2 linked regions of the Daphnia pulex genome follow. Each later gene encodes a partner of the first gene's protein in a complex. Links are inferred from orthologs where the notes say so. Each region holds a gene or a part of one and is shown on either strand. Other genes may lie near its edges.

Region 1 (5,018 bases):
TGATCTGTATCAAGAAAATGCGCATCATCTATATTTTCTATGTAAGCAACATTCTGCAAAGTTTCCAGGCCCTGGTCCTCAGTATCTCTTTCCAAATCTGTAGTAAGCTTATTGTTGCAACGCTTGGCTTCATGCAGTTTTAACATTCCACTAGTTTTGAAACTTTTGCCACAAGCCGAACAGTCTAGTGACTTCGAGGAGCTGTTTAAATAATGATGTTTACCTCTCACCAGTATACTGTAGGTAATGCAAATGTTTTAACACATACCGATAATGTGTAGCTAAATGGCACGCTAAACGATGCGGTTCACGAAACAGCTTTCCACATAGATCACAACAACAGGGCTATTGAATAATCAAACAAATTTAGTTAAATTTTTAACACAAAAAGTTATTGATGTAACCAAACAACCTTCTCCCCAGTATGCACTTGTAAATGTATCTTTAGCACGTTTTTGTGAGCGAACGTCTTTTCACAGTAGGGGCAATTGTGAGGTCGTTCTCCGGTCTGAATTAATAATTAAGTATTATTTATCGTCGCAATAATTTATTAATACTTTATTATTTACGTGACGCATTCGGTGTTGTTTCATGTGACAAGAATTCCGAAATTTCTTCCCGCAAAACTCGCACTCAAAAGGCGCTTTCCCGCCTAAAAAATTTGGTTATTACTTTATGAGCAAATATGAATTATTTTAGTAATGCAAGATGGAAATTACCGTGCATATCAAGGTGATGTCTCATAACAGCCCTTGTCTGAAAAGATGCTTGACACACGTTACAGATGTAAGGTCGAGTTCCGAAGTGCTTAAAAACATGTTCGACATATGGGAAGTAGGAGGTCATTTCCTCTTCACATTGATCACACTTAAATGGGTTCTGACCAGAGGGAGTTAGAAGTTTTGCCAATTCTCTCATATTTTGCAAAAAGGTGGAAGTATCTGGTCCACAACCAATTTGGTCTGGAACAATACACTTGTCCATTAGTTTTACCTATATTTTTAAAAATTAAATTTTTAAATTTTTTGTAAGTTGAAATCTTTATATTGAATAAAATTTGTGGAGGTAAAGGAATTCAATTCACTCCAACCTGAAGAAGTTCCAGTGAGGCTTCAAGGGTAGATCTTTCTTCCTCAACAACAACTGCTTCTTCAAATGCCTTGGTATTAACAGACGAAGTAGAGTATTTCTTGTTTTCAATGACAAATTCAATTGCTTTGGTTGGCTGTGTTATTGACTTGTTTGAAGTGGCAAAATTGTTATTGGATGGCTCCACATTTCTGTGCTTTTTAGCTGAGAATGTGCTTCTTAATTCAAATACCTTCCCATCTACTTCATACTGCAGTTGTAAATTCTTTTGCCTGTTTATTGTGATGTCATTCTTGATTACTTCACATGTTGGTGAAGGTTTTCCTACATGTTGATGTTGTTCCTCTTTATCACAATTGGAAAAAGTGAGAGTCCATTGATTTTTGCTTGGAATGAAAGAAAATACTCCCTGTATTGCATGCGAGTGTTCAGTTTCTCTCGATGATTGTAGTTTATCTATATCAGAATCCAGTTTGAAGTCGCAAAATCCACAGTGTTCCCAAGTGGTTTCAATACTTGGTTTTAGCTGCAAAACCATTTGTTTACCTTCTTGTGCTGTTTTCAAAACACCGAGAATCTCTAATCCCTCACAACTTCCCATCTTGATTGATGGAAGATTTTGTCCCCTATTACAAATTACGACACTGTTTATTTTGGCTTAGCTTTGGATTTTTCTTCCAAAGTTGGTAGCCAACAGCTGTTTCATTCATTACTCAATAGATGACTTTGTACTATGTAAAAATAATTAATTTTTGATTTTTGATTTACAGATTACATCATACTTTTGATTTATAACTTTAACAAAAATGTAATTCAAACACAGTTACTAATTATCTTTATAAGTTTATAACATTTGTAAACTTCGAATTGTGAGCCAGCAATTTTTATTCGGCAACGCCGCGCCATTAGAGAATTACGCGGGAAAGAGCTGAAAGACTAATTCGGCCATTTATGTGTAGACAACTGTGCCTTTTGTCCAGTGTTCCTGCATTATAGCTTTTATCGGTTGATTTTCGTCTTTCCTGATCGTTTCAAAATTTTCAAGACCTGCATTAGAAATTTTACTCGTCATTTATTGAGTGTTTTTTTATTTTGTGTTATTTTTAAACCATTGTCATGGCTGATGACAAGGAAATTAGTCAAGAAAAGGAAAGTGGTGAGTTACCTTTACATCTGATTCATTTTCGTGTTATTTGTATTTACCACCTGATTGATTTTCAGGTCGTACACGGAGAACTAAACAAGACCGTGAAGGGAAATTTGCAGCCTTTCAAAAGCTAAAAGACTTAAAGGGTACTAAAAACAAAGTTACCTTGACGGAAGTTGATAATGTTTATGAAGAGGTTGATGAAAGAGAGTACTCCAAACGAGTTCAAAGACGACAAGAAGATGATTGGATTATTGATGATGGTAATAGAGTAAAGCCAAAATTAAATTATAAAATGCCTTGTTCACAAAATATTTTAAAAATCAGATGGAAGTGGATATGTTGAAGATGGTAGGGAAGTGTTTGATGATGATCTGGATGATGATAATATGGCCCAAGCCAAAGGAGCAGCCAGGGGTCATAAGAAGAAGGACTTGTCAAAAGGAGTTCCTGGAAAAAAAAATAACATTAAAAATATGCTAATTGGCATGTCCTCTAAAAACAAAGAGGTCTGTTTTAGCACTTATATGAATGTTTTATGGAATTTCAAAGGTTTATTACTTTTATTACTGATTTCACTTTTTAGAAAGATGCCAAAACTAAAGATGATGACATTTTAGGAGACATCATGCAAGAACTGAATTCCACCCCTTCAAATGCTCCCTTGAGGCAATCAGTTTCCACTCTTAAAAAGAAGACCATTACTTCTGGGTACCAAAAACTATTAGAACTAAATTAGATCATGTTTTGATTCTGTGTTTTGATTAAATTTTTTTGAAATGATTAGATCGTTGATAAGTCGTACACCAACTTCGATCCCACGGATAACCAGCACTTCAGTGGCATCGAGGCTATTGAAAGCAGAGGTATCAGAAAAATTTTTTCTTTAATTTTCCCCTGTAAACTCCGTCCTATTCCCTGCAGCCCAAACGTCTGCCTTTTGGCAGAGGGGCATCCAATGTAGAAGACAATACCTACGACTGTGCATCAATCGAAGATTCAAATTCATTATGCGATGATAATCCTTTTATAATGGATGGAGTACGTATATTATTTTATTTCTTTTCTAATCTATTTAATACTAATAATAAACCGTTCCATACTACCTTCACTTTTATGTGCTGCCAGCCTATGGACATCGACCAGTTCGATTCGCAACCAGAAATCAATACGCAATCAAGTGAAGCCTCAATTACGACATCTTATACTCCCTGTGAAGAAAGTATTGATCTTCAAGAACTGAAGCAAACTCCTACCATCAGGTTTGTCGCATTTCCGCCAATCTAATATTTATTTTAGATACATTCTTTCTACTTGCTGATGTATTTTTAGCGAATTCGATCTTACTTCGGGATGGGAAACCATTAAAAATAACGTTGACGTTAACCAGAGTGTAGCTGTTTTGGATTTAGGGAGTAATGAGCTTCCCTTGACTCAAGGGGAAGATGGAGAACAGGTTCTATAAATACTTGACTGTTATTTTGCAGTTTCAACTAACAATTATGTTAAATAGTTTTTGCGCATGTACTGGTTCGATGCTTACGAAGATCCGTATATGCAACCTGGCACCGTGTTTCTTTTTGGGAAAATTTTCATAGAGTCGGCTAAAGCGTATGTCAGTTGCTGCGTTTCCGTAAAAAATATCGAGAAGCATATATATGTACTTCCACGTGATACGGTATACACATCTTTATCTAACCTGAAAACTTTTGGCAAAAACTCAACTTGCCAATATCATTTGTATAAATTCATGTACGGAACATTTGTCGCTTTCCTTTTTCATCAGGTTGTCGATCAGCGTACTGGCCAGGACACGGGAACTCCGGTTAATTTTATGGATGTATACGAGGAATTTAATACGCGGGTAGCAGATCGCTACAAAATTTTGCAGTTCAAATCACGGCGTGTATTGAAAAAATATGGATTCGAACCACCGAGCATTCCTCGCGAGAGCGAATATCTTGAAGTGAAATACTCTGCTGAACATTCCTTGCCTACGAATTTGAAAGGTGCAACATTCAGCCACGTCTTTGGAGCCAATACTTCGGCATTGGAAAACTTTTTGTTGGAAAAACGCGTTAAAGGGCCTTGTTGGCTAAACATCAAGAACCCCCAGAAGGCCAACCCGCATGTGAGCTGGTGCAAAGTGGAGGTATAGAAAATATTTTTTTAACGAAATCAAAATCGAAAATTAATTAATATGATTTTTATTTTGTATTCAGGCGTTTGTTTCTAACATGGATCAAATTGAGTTAGATGATAAAAGAGAAGCGCCGCCTCCATTGGCTGTAATGGCGCTTAATTTGCGCACTGTCGTCAACAATCGCACTCAGCAAGTGGAAATTGTCGCCATCAGTTGTTTGATACAAAACGAATTTCATGTAGACCGTGCTGCTCCTCAACCTCCGTTTCAACAGCATTTTTGTCGTAAGCTACAATTATGGAAACGATTGAATGAAGATACATGTTTAAAAAAATCAATTTTCGTAGTTGTAGGCCGTCCATCTGAAGAACCTTGGCCACTAGATCATCGCGATACCATGAAAACGACAAAACTAACGAAAATAGAACTAGCCGAGAACGAACGAGCCCTGCTTAATCTTTTTCTGGCCAAAATTAACAAAATCGACCCCGATGTAATTGTCGGGCACGATGTAGCTTCCTACGACTTGGACATACTTCTCCATCGTTTCACCCAGAACAAAGTAGATCAGTGGTCTCGTCTGGGCCGACTACGTCGCACCAATATGCCTATGTCTAAGGTTTGCTTAGACATTAGATT
Region 2 (5,060 bases), on another chromosome or scaffold:
GTCGGTATATACTCTTTCCTCTTCATTATGGCCTTCAGAAAAGATTTTTTTGTAAAGCGCGATAAAGCGCAACTTGAATCTGACTTAAATTCTCACCAAATTTAAATAAAGCCTTTTTTGTTTCCATAGTGACATAATTCGGTTTCTGTAAAACTTCAAGGCAAGGGCTTAGCCTACAATTCTCCTCATTTCTACACCACTCTGGAAGCACGTACACACCATGCGTATTTCCTAATTTTCAGAATGGAAATACTAATTTTAATTTTTTTGAATAATTTCTAAATTATGATCTAGGAGCTCCTACCTATTGCAATAGTGGATGGATGACCAATGGCTACAATTCCATCTTCATCTAGTTGGTTAAACTTTTCTTCAAGACTTTCAAGACCTGAGAGATAAATTATTATGTAATACCAAAAAGGACAAATGAAAAAAAGAAAGAAGAATTATTAAACAATTACCTTCTAAACAAAAAGTTTCTATATCATCAGAAGCACAAATAAATATTCCTCCATTTTTCATCAGTTTAAGAAAAGGTGAAGTAATAATAAATTTTAAATTTAGAAGTGTTATTGCTTTTCCTTCAACTTCTAGTGGCAATGGACAAAATAACTTTCCAGTACAGCTTAAATTTGGTAATCTTTTACTAGATCCCCCTAAAATAAAAATATTTTTTAAAGAAATAAAAAAAATAGTATTAACTGAAACATGTAAGTAGGCCTATAACATCAATTCCTACCAGCATGACTAATCCAAATTTTCATCTCAAATAGATCATTGGCAAAAAGTTTTTTTAAATGTTTCAGAATATGAAAGGTAGATCCACCTGACCCCAAAGCATATCCAGGACAATCAGCAATGACTAAATATTTAGTAGCCCTTGGTATTTCTCCATTTTCCAGTTTCTCATCAATTTGCTGTTTGAAACATTCTTTTTGTTCTTCATCTCCGGCAGATATGACTACACAATCCCAAAAACCATCGTCTAAACAGATAAAAGGTAAAATGTCAAACAATCTCACTGACTTGTGATAATTTGTGTGATGGATGAAGTTTTTACTTGTTAAAAACTAACCTAAAGATGTTTTGTTAAAGTTTTCCGCTAACTGAACCATGTACTTCTGGATTCGTTCCATTTTTGTGACTGTTGTAGCATTTTCCAGGACGACGTAGGCTTAGTAACTTTGCCACGTAAACACTTTAAACAGTCCAAATTTCATATTTCAGGTAAAAACACAGATGTTTATTGACGTATTCAAAACATGGGAATTCAGAGACCCCTGGAGGGTGTTAGAGAAAGATAACACGGGTAATTTATCGGACTTCGGATATGATTCTGAGCCTAAACCTTTGGGAAACGAAGTTATTTACTGATACAGATTTCTGGAATTAAATATGTTTTAATTTTTGACGAAAAAAGCGAAAAGTAGTAATCATTTTCATATCACAGGTAATGTGTCGTCTGTCTCGTGTCCCGTGTGGTTAGTTTGAATTGCAAAACAACGAACTCTTATAGACATACCATGGACATACTGCAATTAGCGAACTCTTTCATTTTCATAGAGGCATTCGCACTTAATTATTTATGGTCCAAAATTTAATTACAGTCGTCGCAAGCCCGCAGCTGCGTGAGACAATGAATTGGGTGAGGCAAAGATTAGATTTCCTGCAATCCTTGCAAAATTCTAATTAATAAAAACTTTGAATAACTTTAAAGCTATTTAATATGCATGATTTGTATCTAGCAAGTTCGCAAGTCTTCGAATTTATTTTAGAGCGGTTGCATTTGCATGCAACTTGCAATCAATTTGGAATCCTTTTTTTTTCGCCAATTTTATATCTGGCATCACCGTTGCTTTAGTTTGAGCGCGAAAAGAGATCTTTTGTTGTTTCATTTACCGTCTGCTACTCTGCTTTATGTTAAGTGTTAACCGCGCAGTAAACTTGGTAGAAAAAAAATTTTGTTGAATAAATTCCGAGGGAAATAGTTACTTTTAAAAATGGAATTTCAACGCAACACAGTTCGGCGAACTATAAAAAATTCTATGAAGCTAAGAAGTGAATATCCTCATTCTCTGCAACTATATTCCGTACCTCCCAGTGAAACCATCGGTTTGCAAGAACTTGAAGATTGGGCTGTCGAACGTCTCAAAGGTATAATAATTGGTCATAACTTCTTATTAATTACCTCCGTAATTACTTCAAATTTTTATCAACAGTTCTTAGGACAATAGAGCGTGTCAATCTGAGTAAAAATGCCAGATTCTCTGATGATTGGAAGACTGCCCTGAAAAATGATTTACAAAAGCAGAACTTGAACAGTTGGTATCAACTGAGCTCAAGTATCAAAGATGATAAGATGGATGAAATCATTTCAAAAACACGACAGAAAGATCATGTTTCTCACTTCTTGATGAGACTTGCATATTGCAGGACTGAAGAGTACAGGCGTTGGTTCATTGCTCAGGAAACTGATCTCTTCCGCTTTAGATTTTCGATGGAAAGTTCAGAAGATATCAGGGCATTTATGAAAGAAAACAAAATGAATTTTCTACCCGTATGTAGAGATATTGCAAATATTCACCAAATTATTACTTATTTAATTATATTTCACCAAACATTTTACAGATTCCAGAGGAAGAAAAAAAGAAGATATTGACTAAACTTATACATGCTGCCCAATTTAATGCCAATAAAGTTGATGCAGTGGAATATTACAAGGTTCCCTTTACAGAGGCTTTAGATTTAGTTCGCCATCGCAAAGTATACTTGCAAGCCGGATTTGCATACATTCCAAGCGAGGACCTCGTTTCCATAATCACAGCTATGTTCCGCTCTCATTTATCACTTGCTATGGCGGTAAAAGAAAATAATTTTTTAATATTCACTGAATAACTTATTTAAAGATATTTTTTTTATTGGATTGAAGCTTACTATGCGTTCACTACCAGAGCTAGAGGACGATCATCGAATCCGTCGCTTACTGAATGACTTTGATAAACGATATACCGGTCAAGATTTTAACTCTCTACAAAATAAATCTTCTGGTGCCGCTGTAACACCAGAAATGATTGATGGGGTAAGACCAACAAATTTCCGTGCTTGCTTTATAAAAACAAAAATAGTAAATCATTAAAATGTATGATTTGCAGTTGTCAAAACAATCTTTCCCACTCTGTATGAGACATTTACACGAGACATTGCGTTCTACTCATCATTTAAAACACGGCGGACGTATGCAGTATGGACTTTTTGTCAAAGGAATCGGACTTAGCTTGGAAAATTCATTGAAGTTTTGGAGGGAGGAGTTCTCCAAAAATATGGATATGGATAAGGTTGGTAAACCTCCACCGAGGATCAAAGTTTCATCAAAACTTCTCCTTACATTTCCCTATTTCCTTTAGTTTGAAAAGCAATACGCATACAATATTCGCCACAATTACGGCAAGGAAGGAAAAAGAATCAATTACGCACCTCAAAGCTGCATCAAAATCATTACTGCCAGCGTAGGTCCGGGTGAGAATCACGGTTGTCCGTTCAGACACTTTGATGCTGCCGTCCTTCGACAGAAAATGACAATGAATCGTGTTCCTCAGCCAGGTAGTAATTAATTTCATATGCATGTCTTTGATCACGTAATTTAATTTGTTTTGGTGCCCTTCTAGCGATTCAAGAAATAGTCGATCTAGTGACACGCCATCATTACCAGATTGCCTGCCAGCGGTACTTTGAAGCCACGCACAACACCGAGATTGATAGTGGTATCCAGCACCCAAACCAGTATTTTATCGAAAGCCAAAAGATCCTCAACGGTGAAGTGAAGGAGAAAATCAAGGGAGCGAATAAGGTACAGACCATTCGTGCTACTCTTCCAGCTAAAGTAGAGAAACTTGAAACAAATGAAAATGAGGTTCTCAGCGAATCCGTTTTAGCAGCAATTGATATGGATGATGATTTCAACTAAATAGTTTAAATCAACTTTTACTTGAAAGCCGTACAAAGGGTTTTATCGATAAATTGTATCTAGCTAGAAGTATTGCGCACTGCATTCGGTTGATCAATAAGATTCCCCAACTGAATAAGCTTGCCTTTTAGAAGTTTGTAACAAAATCGTAGAGATCGTATGTTAAGGCGCGTTTGAACTTAACTTGAATATCTTTCCCACGGCATCAGATGTATATCATTTCTTATCTAAAATGTATCCCTGAAACTTTGCGTAATTGAATTTTGTAAACTCAAAGTTTCATCCGAAAAGAAAGTTTTGGTGCATTATTTGAAAGGGAAACTTGCGTCCGCTCAAAGTACTTTTTGAGGTTGGTGTGCTTTTTCCTAATCGTCAAAAATAACTTTTGGAACAATAGAATAATAGAGAGAGACATACTTCGTGATTGGCACTTGTGTATTTTACTTTTCGGTATGCATGCTGTACAAAATTTCACAGTCACTAAACGCTGAAGTTTACAATTCAGTGACTTTGATGTTTTTAGTACACGGAAGCTGCGGGATAAAAACTTTTAAGAAAGTCTAATTAACGAATCCCTGTTTTGAAATAATCTCGCCACATTGGGGAGAAATTGAACGATCTAGAAAAGTAATAGTACTATGGTTTTTGTGTATATGCAAAAAAAAAAACATTCTAAATTAACAATACAAACTTTGTGTCTTTTGGTAAATTTCGATCAAATTGTAAAATCTCCTCAAGCTCATCGTTTCAGCATGATACCAATTATGAAAAAAGGGATGACTGAGGAGAAGGGAAAGACGACCATTTTTTAATATGTAGATTGCATGGCAATCATCGTACCAACACAAGGTTTTAACACATGGCCGGGAGTAACAATAATGTACACGTAATAATACCGCCACCTAAAGTGGTTGACCTATACACGGACATTTTTCGGTTTGTCATCGCTTACTTGATCGTTGCGGTAACACGTTAGTCTTCCGCCATAGACGTTGACGGAGCCACTTCCAGCAATAACTGCAAGAATGTTGTAACATAACCTTTACAGAATTACAAATGATCAGTGAATTAATTGTGTTTCCTTTTTCCCTTTTAG

What was found.
Region 2: DNA polymerase alpha catalytic subunit-like (region 1) and DNA primase large subunit-like share a complex: the UniProt entries of both Drosophila melanogaster proteins name them as parts of the alpha DNA polymerase complex. The link is inferred for Daphnia pulex from reciprocal best matches to the Drosophila melanogaster genes PolA1 and Prim2.

Annotation. Positions count from the first base shown.
Region 1 is NC_060022.1:1,987,093-1,992,110, forward strand, and holds the start of DNA polymerase alpha catalytic subunit-like, read left to right. Parts: upstream 1-2,011; 5' UTR 2,012-2,205; coding exon 2,206-2,245; intron 2,246-2,310; coding exon 2,311-2,499; intron 2,500-2,563; coding exon 2,564-2,745; intron 2,746-2,822; coding exon 2,823-2,947; intron 2,948-3,023; coding exon 3,024-3,102; intron 3,103-3,160; coding exon 3,161-3,277; intron 3,278-3,364; coding exon 3,365-3,498; intron 3,499-3,568; coding exon 3,569-3,692; intron 3,693-3,749; coding exon 3,750-3,914; intron 3,915-4,022; coding exon 4,023-4,388; intron 4,389-4,458; coding exon 4,459-4,663; intron 4,664-4,726; coding exon 4,727-4,998; intron 4,999-5,018. Other genes in the region: putative zinc finger protein 66, read right to left, coding at 1-201, 269-345, 413-508, 570-652, 720-993, 1,091-1,690. UniProt on the Drosophila melanogaster protein: Catalytic subunit of the DNA polymerase alpha complex (also known as the alpha DNA polymerase-primase complex) which plays an essential role in the initiation of DNA synthesis.
Region 2 is NC_060018.1:6,169,847-6,174,906, reverse strand, and holds DNA primase large subunit-like, read left to right. Parts: upstream 1-1,841; 5' UTR 1,842-2,000; coding exon 2,001-2,154; intron 2,155-2,219; coding exon 2,220-2,557; intron 2,558-2,628; coding exon 2,629-2,859; intron 2,860-2,929; coding exon 2,930-3,079; intron 3,080-3,152; coding exon 3,153-3,335; intron 3,336-3,404; coding exon 3,405-3,600; intron 3,601-3,665; coding exon 3,666-3,964; 3' UTR 3,965-4,376; downstream 4,377-5,060. Other genes in the region: fucose-1-phosphate guanylyltransferase-like, read right to left, coding at 1-32, 97-231, 305-388, 462-656, 740-985, 1,076-1,136; b(0,+)-type amino acid transporter 1-like, read right to left, coding at 4,937-5,004. UniProt on the Drosophila melanogaster protein: Regulatory subunit of the DNA primase complex and component of the DNA polymerase alpha complex (also known as the alpha DNA polymerase-primase complex) which play an essential role in the initiation of DNA synthesis.